Arabidopsis thaliana: one gene and its partner. The protein of the gene in region 2 purifies or fractionates together with the protein of the main gene of each other region. This does not show direct contact. Each region holds a gene or a part of one and is shown on either strand. Other genes may lie near its edges. The genes, in order: MCM3 and RFC2.

The links.
Region 1: the proteins of RFC2 (region 2) and MCM3 fractionate together in Arabidopsis thaliana (co-fractionation; one large-scale study listed by BioGRID). This does not show direct contact.

What each region holds. Positions count from the first base shown.
Region 1 is NC_003076.8:18,769,049-18,775,599, forward strand, and holds MCM3 (Minichromosome maintenance (MCM2/3/5) family protein), read right to left. Parts: upstream 4,656-6,551; 5' UTR 4,559-4,655; coding exon 4,496-4,558; intron 4,401-4,495; coding exon 4,300-4,400; intron 4,112-4,299; coding exon 3,903-4,111; intron 3,804-3,902; coding exon 3,673-3,803; intron 3,581-3,672; coding exon 3,342-3,580; intron 3,268-3,341; coding exon 3,031-3,267; intron 2,930-3,030; coding exon 2,775-2,929; intron 2,662-2,774; coding exon 2,453-2,661; intron 2,369-2,452; coding exon 2,209-2,368; intron 2,123-2,208; coding exon 1,926-2,122; coding exon of another isoform or gene 1,914-1,925; exon of another isoform or gene 1,843-1,913; coding exon 1,783-1,842; exon of another isoform or gene 1,696-1,782; coding exon 1,606-1,695; coding exon of another isoform or gene 1,594-1,605; exon of another isoform or gene 1,514-1,593; coding exon 1,311-1,513; coding exon of another isoform or gene 1,307-1,310; exon of another isoform or gene 1,221-1,306; coding exon 1,001-1,220; intron 911-1,000; coding exon 854-910; 3' UTR 601-853; downstream 1-600. Other genes in the region: AT5G46270 (Disease resistance protein (TIR-NBS-LRR class) family), read right to left, coding at 31-42; KASI (3-ketoacyl-acyl carrier protein synthase I), read right to left, coding at 5,391-5,458, 5,541-5,607, 5,679-5,828, 5,928-6,041, 6,151-6,324.
Region 2 is NC_003070.9:23,421,300-23,426,030, reverse strand, and holds RFC2 (replication factor C 2), read left to right. Parts: upstream 1-2,116; 5' UTR 2,117-2,259; coding exon 2,260-2,421; intron 2,422-2,695; coding exon 2,696-2,802; intron 2,803-2,893; coding exon 2,894-2,995; intron 2,996-3,092; coding exon 3,093-3,288; intron 3,289-3,378; coding exon 3,379-3,507; intron 3,508-3,587; coding exon 3,588-3,782; intron 3,783-3,852; coding exon 3,853-3,963; 3' UTR 3,964-4,197; downstream 4,198-4,731. Other genes in the region: AT1G63170 (Zinc finger, C3HC4 type (RING finger) family protein), read right to left, coding at 1-457. UniProt on the Arabidopsis thaliana protein: May be involved in DNA replication and thus regulate cell proliferation.

The DNA of each region.
Region 1 (6,551 bases), on a different chromosome or scaffold from region 2:
TTCATAGCCTCTAATGTCTTATCCCCTTACATTACTACACATACGTCTCACTTTATGATTACTTTAAGAATTTAGAATTCTTAGAGTGGAGACAAGTTTCTCTTGCTCATGGCCTTAACATTTCTGAGAAGCTCTGGTCTGAATCAGAGACATGTATGGCCTAACTACGTAAGTTTATTTAGTAACTCAATTGTTTTGACTAGGGTTGATAGAGAAACGTGTGCAGTAACCTACCAAAATAGATTTTGTTATTTGGCAACAAAAAAAAAAATAGATTTTGTTGTATTACTCTGTATACCAAAACTGATTTCAATCCGTCTTTGTGGAATTTAACCTGATTATATGTACAATTTTAGAAACGTATAGGATCCATCATGGACAAAGCAAACATGTTTTGGAAAAAAAAAAAAAAAGTAATAGAGACCAAATGGAAAAACATGGATCTTTTAGACGAGAGAGTTCCAAGGTAGTGATTATTAGGGTTTTGAAGTTGGCTTATATATGGCACAACTCTATTCTTACCATTGGGTTAAAACAACATATACACTATAATCTTGATGTCGATTACATATGTATAAAATTTGGCATAAACAGCTCAAGAAATTATAGGATAAATATGAAAGTATTTTATTCTCGGATTGTGCTTTTCGTTATAAATTCCAAATTTTATAATCAGATGCGTTTTTTTAAGCATTTTATCATCAGTTTTACTTCACTAGTAAATGCAAAAAACATAACGTATGAATAAAGATTTTACAAAATGATATTTTGGTTTCCAAGAGTTTACTACTACACTATTTTTGAGTTCTAATATGATGATGATGATGCAATCAATATTGATTTCTTCATATGATCAAATGATATGAACTTTGCCATCGCTGATCATCACTTTGTTATCATCTTGCAGTTTCTGCATAAAATCCACAATAGAGTAAAGTTATGAAGATATTGTATAAAAAGTTAAAGAATGAGAAAGCTTGTCTCTTAATTTGTGAATTACCTCTAAGAGAGCCATAATCTCATCTGCAGAGTAACGAGATGCTCCAACCCCATTGTTGTTGACAACAGTCTCTATATCTGCAATAGAGATGTCATCGAGCCTGTGTGTCCTCATGTGCTGCCCAAACACTCGCTCAAAGGTTTCAATCCTTGCTGCAGAGACCGTGCCGCTGAATTGCTCTACAGAAGGTTCATCTACTTCCATTGGATCTGCTGTTTCACTGAATGGACCAGCAAAAGAGAAAGAAAAAAGTATAAGGGTTGAGAAAGCTGTGATATAGGTTTCCATGGAGGAGATCAAATTAGTTTACCTGTCGACATTTGCAGTGTCATTCTCTGCTCCATCTTCATTATTCCTGCGTTGGTTGCCTCTACGTCCACTTGGTGTTCTTTCTTGTTCAGCTTGTTCCCTTTGACGTTCTTCTTGCTCACGATCATCCATCTCAGTTAATTCTTGATGATATATTGCAAAGTTCATAAGCTTCAAGGCAGCCTCTGCATCAGCTTTAGTAACCTTTCAAAATAAAGTTATCACTTTAGAAAGAATCTGAATAGAACATATTCACGACCAGGTGGGGAAACAGAAGATTTGAGTTAGATTGTTACCTCGCTACTCAACTTCATTTTGGCATGTGCCGTAGCAAGACGAATTATTGTCTCTAGAGTTCTGGCTGTTATCGGAAGCGTACCTCCAGTCTGCAGAGATTTCGATGGTTGTGTCAAATACAAGTTCCCAAGACGAAAAAGATACAGTGTCCAATGTTATTTTATGAAATAAATTACCTTAGTATCGGAACCTGCATTTCTGAGATCTGCATATGCTTCTGCAATACGTTCCGATGCCTGCAAATTTAATAACAAAAGAGATTTAGTGGAAGAGATTATCAGATACATAAAAATTTATATATTTGAGTTCACTGTCTCACTTCATCAGTGAGCTTTGGTGTAATACGGTGCTTGGCGTAATGAATGTACTTCTTCAAGAACTTAATCGTAAGGGTTTTATCATGTGTTTGGCCTCTTTTCTTCTTCCCATGTAGTGTTTGGTTATACTTAACAAACATTTCACTCTCAGCATTGTCTTCTCTCGCGTAAGGCAAGCTCCCATCTGGCCCTGCCTCACCTATGGTTCACTCAAAAGTCAGATGCGTTTCAAGACATGGGTTGTGAAATGTTTAGTAAAACATAGAAGCATGATTTGTTTCCTACCTCTATCGTTCTTGTAACGATGCATGCGCAAGACATGTTCTGAAATCATGCTGTCGATACCAGCATCCATTTGATCCAACACAATAAACAGTAGATCAAAACGAGAAAGCAGCGAATCTGGAAGTCCAATGTTCTTTGTTGGAGTCAGTGATCTGTCATACTGCAGGAGCAAGAGTAGGTATTAGGACAAAAAAATACTAGTCAGTAGAGTAAGTAGATTAGGAAAACTTCGGTGAGAACTTACAGTTCCGTATATGGGATTTGCAGCTGCAACCACACTGCATCTAGCATTCAGTGATGCATGGATACCGGCTTTTGCAATTGTTACAGTCTGTTGCTCCATCACTTCGTGTATAGCAACTCGGTCCTGATCATTCATCTTATCAAACTCGTCAATGCACACGATACCTTTATCAGCGAGGACCATTGCACCAGCTTCTAGTCTTCGTTCCCCTGATGAAAATGAGAATTTGATTTTAATGAGAAATAGCACTTTTGACCTTCCTTCAAATTTTGATTTTAGCATTTGATAAAAAAATGTGGAAACGCTTTTGTGTGCTTTTTACCTGTTTCTTGGTCAGAAGTCACAGCAGCAGTTAACCCAACACCGGAAGAACCACGGCCTGTGGTTGATATAGCCAAAGGTGCAATATTCATTATCGCTCTCAGAAGTTGAGATTTGGCAACAGATGGATCACCAACCATCATCATGTTGATGTCTCTGAAAGCACAAGATTTGTTTTCAAGTGAAGAAAGAAAAATGAGTTAGACAAAAAGTATCCAATGAGTCGAATCTGAAATCTGTTTTCAAGCAAGACTTACCCCCTCAAGTGGGTTCCGTTCTTCAGGTTCTTTTCAACACCACCAAGCATCAGTAAAACTACTGCTTTCTTTATCCAAGCGTGCCCATAAATAGAAGGTGCTAAGGAACGAGCAAGGAGATCAAATGCATCATCTCTTCGTGCAATATTTTTAATGTTATCTAGGTCTTGCTTAGTGTATATAGGTGCATTTGCTTCTTTATTGAGCAGAGCGATATTATTGGCTATGAGGATAGTCCTACACAGAAAGAACTCGGTCAAGACTATCAGAGTGAAAACATCTTGAACTAACAGATGTGTAAGAAAACGCACCTAAAGACTCCATTTACACTACCCTTGCTTTTTCCAGGAAGAGCTTTGTAAATACCGAAAACAGATACTCGATCTCCTGGCTTGCATGAGTCAACAAGGTCATCCTCAGCAATGACATCAACGCTTCGTGGAAGCTGACCAGGAGCAGCATTTTCAGGCACTTCTTGAATTGACAAGGTCTGGTGATCTTTGTATTTGCACAGCCCATACTCAGTCACCAATAAGTTTCCCTTATCATCCTGAACAAAAAAAAACTCAATCTTCAGTAAGAGGCAAATCTTCCAGCAGTACAGGTAAATGAACAAAACGAAAACAAAAAACATGTAATTACCCTTGTGGGATAGACAGAGCCAGTGGGTAAACCAGCGTGAGATGTTATGTCTCGATAATCTCGATTGGTAAATTCACCGGTTGATGGACAAAAGTGAACGCTTTTAACAACCTTTGGCCTCACAAGAGAGCCTGAAAGCAAAGCATGTGTCAGAGGTTCAAAATCTTCTACGTAAAACACAAAGGAAACAGAAGAAAAGCAGAGGAATAGAGTGAAAATGATGAGCTTACATTTGGTGACAATGCCCTCAACACAGACCATAGATCCAATAAAATCAGAGAGAAGCTCTCTAGGAGTAACAACGCGAGAAACAAAATAACCTTCAAAACCAACAAGGACAAGCTCTCCTTCCTTCAAGTATTTAGGGTCAATAGCACGAGTAGCTTCAGTGGCTGCGTCACAAAATGACTGCATATACTCATTTGGATTCTTCAGTATCCTATCCAAAAAAACCAAAGCAATCAACTTTAAGGTCACAAAACATATGACAATTGTAGTGAATCCTTAAAAATCCCCAAATTAACCTCACTGAATCTAACAAAACCCTAAAATCTGCCGTAAATTCATAACCTTATACTAAAGAACCGATTAAAAATTCGAGGAAGACAAATTGAGAAGATGACGAACCTAGAGGCAACTTCCCTGAAGTGGTGGTGAATGTCAGAGATATTAATAATGAGACGGTGACGCTTTTGATGTACCAAAGCCTTGATTTCCTCCATATACATCTACACAATCCGTAAAAAAAATCCAATTTTTCAAATTAGATAAGAACAGAAGCTCGAGAAATGTCTGGTGAGAAAAGTGATAGAAATCGACTTACACTATCGAGGAACTGGATAAAATCTCGCTTGTGGCGAAGCCTCGTCTCCTCTGGCACATCCATTTCTTAACAAAATCTGGGTTCTTCGTAAGAACTTTTCTTCTTCTACTTAAAAAAAAAAAACTGATTAGAGATTTTCGATTTCCGATTTCGAGAGGCATAAAGGGCGGATCTTCTCCTTATGGCGGGATTTCGTGAGATAACCTGTACCCTTTTTGGCGGGAAGGGTCATTTTGGGCCGATATTAGTTGGGCCTTTCGTCTACGTGCTTTTTGATTAACCAAATTTGGGCCGGTACAATTTTGGACTTACGTCTACGCGCTTGTTTGGCGCGTTTGATTTCCTCAAGGCGGTATAATACACCCAGATTCTAAACCAAAAACCAGACATACCAAATCAATTCATTGTAAATTCGGTTTAACTTTTGCTACTGCCTTCAAGCCAGTAAACCGAAAAATGTATATATGAAAACCAAAATAAACCTGTGTGATTTGAGAACATTTTCGGATGTATCACAACATATGTATAACTGAAAAAAAATTCAGTATAAATCTAATTTCTTCGAATGTAAAAACACGACAAGAATTGTTGAGAAATAAAAGATGAGAATCCCCTAATTGGATTATTCTGACAATAACACCGTTACTACAAGATTCTCTCAGTTTCTGTTTTTATAAATTACGCAAATATGGAACGAACTAAGATACACAACATTCCGCAGACAAGAGAGAGAACAAACAAAATCTGAAATCTCAGCAACCGTAAGAAACGGGGAATGAAAGAACCGCAAAAGGCCAGAGGAAGAGCTCCAACTTGTGAACCAAGAAGCTGCAAGTGGTGGTGATGGATGATGATAGTAACCGATAGGGCAGAGAATCTAAAAGGTATGAAGAAATCAGGGTTTGAAGGCAGAGAAGGCGACTACCGAGTTGTGTCCACCGAACCCGAACGAGTTTGATATGGCTGCAGCAAAACAGAAAGACATTAATCAGTGAAACTGTTGCCAGTTTAATCCAATGAGAAGGCGGTCATGTTTGTCACTTACCAACATCAACCTCGTGTTGCTTCTTCTCGTTTGGGACCGTGTCAAAGTCCACAGCTTGTTCTGGGTTCTACAATGAGAAAACAAAGAGTGTGAGAGTCTAATACAATGACCAAGTTCAAATCTTGCAACAGTTCAAACTGAAAGCGGAATCAAAGAAGCCTTTTCTTGACTTCCTGTTATACGTACAAATTGGTTGATGGAAGGATGCAGCCATCCAGTGTTGATAGCCTTCACGGTGGCGATGGCTTCTAGACCTCCAGCTGCACCGAGGCAGTGACCTATCATAGACTGTAACAGAAACTGTCATTCACAGGAAATGCAAAGCAAACAAATACATTGAAATAGAGGAGAAGAAGAACACTCAATCATAGAGCATTGGGGACGAACCTTGGTGGCGTTGATTTTGATCCCTGAAGTGCTCTTGAATACCTTTTTAATGGCATTAATCTCAGCAAGATCACCAGCAAGAGTGGAAGTTGCATGTGCATTGATGTAATTTACCTGAAAAACGTGGAATGAATATAAGTAGGGAAGTAACACGAATCTAATGAAGAAATTTGTTTCAGATAGCCTTAAAACTTAGGAAGCATGAAAAGTTTGTGTTTTTTACCTCCTCAGGTGATACACCAGCATCTTCCAGGCATCTTTCAATGCATGAAGAAACCCCAAGACCATCAGCTCTTGGATCAGTCATATGGTGAGCATCACAATTAACAGCACCTCCAAGATATTCTGCTACAATTGGAGCACCACGTTTCATTGCATGTTCCAAGCTTTCCATCACCTATTAGGGCATACAACAATTAGTGGGTCTCTCCAAAACAAAATGTCACATGTATGAGCCAATCTCATGGTGAGATAAACCAACTTTGAAAATGTAGTACAATTCAAGTGCAAGGAAACTTCCAGAGCTAATAGACTAGGGAACACAAGTTTCATCAGATTCTATAAACTAAGACCAAAACAGGCTCTTATATACAATTCAAAACAGAGCAAGCCAAATGTATGTAG
Region 2 (4,731 bases):
TAGAAGAAGAAGAAGAAGAAGAAGAAGAGCTAGATCTTGGACTCAAATCTCTTCTTCTTCTACTATTCCTCCTACGATACTCAACACAAACACAAACCATATGCATCATACATTGCAACCCATACCCAATAATCCAAACCCTAAGAGGCATATTCGGATTCTCATCGCTGCTAAGTACCAAAACAGCTGTAGCAACAACGACAAAAGCAAGATTCCAAACGAAATCCAAAACCACTACAGGTTTCGAATAAGCCCAATCGCTTTGTCTCTCTTCAAGCTGCTCAGCCGCAGCTTCACGAACAAGCATCGATGGCTCTCTCATCATCATTCTCCCGCTACTTGCATGTCTTAGTAACCTCGCCGCTTCTCTTAACCCTTGTCTTCTCACCGATCTCCTTCCTCCTCCTCCGTCGGTTAAAATCAAAGGCGTTGCTTCCGTCGTCGTCTCTCTTGACATTTTGCTTTCTCTTTTCAAAGTTTCTTCCTTTCTTCGAAATTTCAAAAATTGATATCGAATTGATGAAATTGGTGAAGCTTTACGCCATTAAATTGGGGCAATTTCAATCTCAGAGACAATTTCGGATTTGTTAGGGTTTCGATTCGAACAGAGAGAGAGAGAGACAGAAAGAGAAAGAAGATGATGAGTCGGACAAATCGGGAAACGTGATGTTTGAAAAATGAATATAAAAAATCAAAATTGTAATGAATTTAATGTCTCCTCAAATGACAACCAGAGAAATTAGGGGACATATATGTAATATTCAGTTTTTTCAGTGGCTATATGGTAAACTTACACTAACTTGATTCAAATTAAGGGTGGGTAAGAAACTGAACCAAACCATATTAAACCGAAATTTATTCTTTTGTCCAACTGAGTAAAAAATTAACAAAAATTCGAAAAATTTTAAGCATAATTTTTAATCGAAAACCGGAATAAATCTAAATTAAACTCAAATCCAAATTGAAAATTTTTAATCGAAAAAATTATAGTTTATACGACATCTATTTAGGGAACAAACCCAAAAAAAAACTCAACTAATTTTTATTTGGACGTTTAATACCCAATTGTTTTTGGTTGGAAGGTAAATACACGAAGTAATAAAACCGTGCAATTTAATACACAAACAAGTAATTGTTGTTATTTTCATACTCACGATCTCACAACAAAAATAAAATTCCAATTTTACCCTTACCATCTCAATTAATTATTAATTTTTTTATAATATAATATTAAATTTTATAATTTTGAATAAAAAATAATTTTATTAACATTTTAGTTTATGGTCTCTAATTTTTATTATTATTATATTATTCTAAAATTTAACATAAAAATTATAGAAAATTAAAAATATTTTAAAATGGCCGGTAAATATTCTTCGTAGTGAGAAACTCTCTTTTCGATTGTATATCCTTCAAGAATCAAACTATTTTCGACAAAATCTCAACCCGAATCTCATCGTATTTCTCAAGATTTATCAATTCATAAAAATGGCTAATTTTGTTTTTAGTAGCAAAATAGCTAACCTCAACCCAAATCTCAACGAATTAGATTAATCTTTGATTCTAAATTTCCTTAAAGAGAAAACGATTCTTTGATATTGCAACGATAGAAGAAGATTGTAATAATGACTATTTTAAAATATTTTTGATTTTCTATAATTTTTATGTTAAATTTTAGAATAATATAATAATAATAAAAATGAAAATTTAAATTTTAGAGACCATAAACTAAAATGTTAATAAAATTAATTTTTATTTAAAATTATATAATTAATATTATATTATCAAAAAATAATAGTTAATTGAGATGGTAAGAGTAAAATTGGAATTTTATTTTTGTTGTGAGATCGTGAGTATGAAAATAACAACAATTAATTATTTGTGTATTAAATTGTATGATTTTATTATTTCGTGTATTTACTTTCCAACCAAAAACAATTGAGTATTAAACGTCCAAATAAAAATTAATTGAGGTTTGTTTTGGTTTTTTTTCCCATCTATTTATAATAAAATAGACCAATTTTAAATTTATCGAACCGAACTGGGCATAAATGTAACAACGAGTTTTAAAAGGCGGGGCTATATAGTGAAATTAATATACTTTGGGTACAGAATTCGGATGTTTTCTTTTTATAGGCCCTTTAATGAAATGATTGTATAAAAGTAAAACCCTTAATCGGATCCTCCAGCAATTTTCCCTCCAAACCAGAAAACCCTCCAAATCTCACCGGTCGGAGATTCCTTCTCTTCCGACTGATAATGGCGTCTTCTTCATCAACCTCTACCGGTGACGGATACAATGAACCATGGGTGGAGAAATACAGGCCGAGCAAAGTAGTCGATATCGTTGGAAACGAAGACGCCGTCTCCAGACTTCAAGTCATTGCTCGCGACGGCAACATGCCTAATCTTATCCTTTCCGTAAGATTTTACTCTTCTGTTGACACTCTTTGATTTAAACCCTCCTCGAATTTGCTAAAAAGTTTTAGGTTTGATGAAAACTTGATCAATTAGGGCATTTTGGGTTTGTTTACTGTGTAGATTTCATGATAAAGCTTAGATTTTGAGGGTTTTTAATCAATTTCTATTGTCTGCCAAAGTTAATGAAGGTTTGATTTTTAGAAAATCTCTGTGTTTAGTATTACTTGTGGAGATTTGATATATGATTTTGTGTTGTTTGGTTGTATATCCTTAGGGTCCTCCTGGAACAGGTAAAACCACAAGCATTTTGGCTCTTGCTCATGAGCTCCTTGGCACGAATTACAAGGAGGCTGTTCTGGAGTTGAATGCATCTGATGATAGGTATGTGATGCCAATCTTTTACCTATGGGATGTTGTTCTATCTTCAATCGTTGTTTGGTTAGACATCTTCAATGTTCTGTTATGTTTGTAGGGGTATTGATGTTGTAAGGAACAAAATTAAGATGTTTGCGCAGAAGAAAGTAACACTTCCTCCAGGGCGTCATAAGGTTGTTATCCTAGATGAAGCTGACAGGTTAGTGACTTTTACTTGAGTATTCCTTCTCAAGTTGAATTGTTCCAGTTAAGTGTTTTTTTTTCTGACTTTCTGTTTTCGGTTTCTAAAAAACTAGTATGACATCTGGAGCACAACAAGCATTGAGGAGAACGATTGAAATCTATTCGAACTCTACGCGGTTTGCACTTGCTTGTAATACATCAGCCAAGATTATTGAGCCCATTCAGAGTAGATGTGCCTTAGTTCGATTCTCTAGATTATCTGATCAGCAGATACTAGGCCGTCTCTTGGTGGTGGTTGCAGCAGAGAAAGTACGGATTTGCCACTTTTCTTTCATTCGACATGTTTACTTACTGCAATTTTGAAAATTTTCTAATTGCTTATGTTTTCAATCTCTCAAGGTTCCGTATGTGCCTGAAGGCCTTGAGGCGATAATCTTTACAGCTGATGGTGACATGAGGCAAGCTCTGAACAACTTGCAAGCCACATTCAGCGGGTTTTCGTTTGTCAACCAAGAAAACGTCTTCAAGGTTTGAAACAAAACCTTAATTCACTTTGGCTTATAAAACACATTGGTTTCATATCATCAATCAAAGATCTCTTCACTTAGGTCTGTGACCAGCCTCACCCGCTTCATGTCAAGAACATTGTTCGCAATGTGTTGGAAAGTAAGTTTGACATCGCCTGTGACGGCTTAAAGCAGCTCTATGATTTGGGCTACTCTCCAACCGACATTATCACAACGCTTTTCCGTATAATAAAGAATTACGATATGGCTGAGTATCTGAAACTTGAGTTCATGAAGGTATACATCTGATTCTCCTTGACAGCTCAAAACATCCAAACTTTCGTCTAACACCAATGCTTTTCTTCAGGAAACTGGATTTGCGCATATGAGAATCTGTGATGGAGTTGGATCTTATCTTCAGCTATGTGGTCTTCTGGCTAAGTTATCCATTGTTCGTGAAACAGCGAAAGCACCTTAAGTTAGGTAACTTCCACTCATCTCTAGTGATGAACTGGTGGCCGGTCTATGTTTAAACCAAGTTGGTTAAATCTCGTTGTTTGAGAATTCGGATAGATGTTGGAACTTCCATGCTGTATTGCTCTGTTTTCTAGATTTGAATTGCTTGTGAATGTTTCTGAATATTAAGCTTAATCCTAACCAGTTTGGTATACCAACACATTTTTTTATATAATACCATGCTATTTGTTTAAATCACATAAATGAAAAAAACAATACACAGATTATTTTACACATTACAACCACTCTATATAGTCTACGCAAGTGCGAGAGATGAATCGTAATTTTTGTAGGTAAAATGTTGAACCTATTTGTGTAATTCGATAACACTATATGAGTAAGGCATGACATTGTGAAATGGTGTAAACTCTTGGTCTGTTACATTGACTTTATATTATGAATAAACACACTTGTGACCAAAAAAAAGAAAAAAGAACTGGGAACAAGAAACGAAATAAAGTTATATTTATTGAACCAAAACTATAAAATACGTTTGGTTAAAAACCAAATCTACTACAGTAACCATAATGATGACACGTCTGAAATCTTCTTCTGTAGCTCGTGTGTGTTAACCTAACATTGAAATACACAAAACAACGTATCAGAGTCATCTTCATGAAGCTTACAGACACGATAACAACTAAATACACACCATGTAACATAAGGACTCTGTTGCGAAAAATATCAGAGTAAAGCAACATGATTCACCTCAGACTCCTCCTACCTCGAG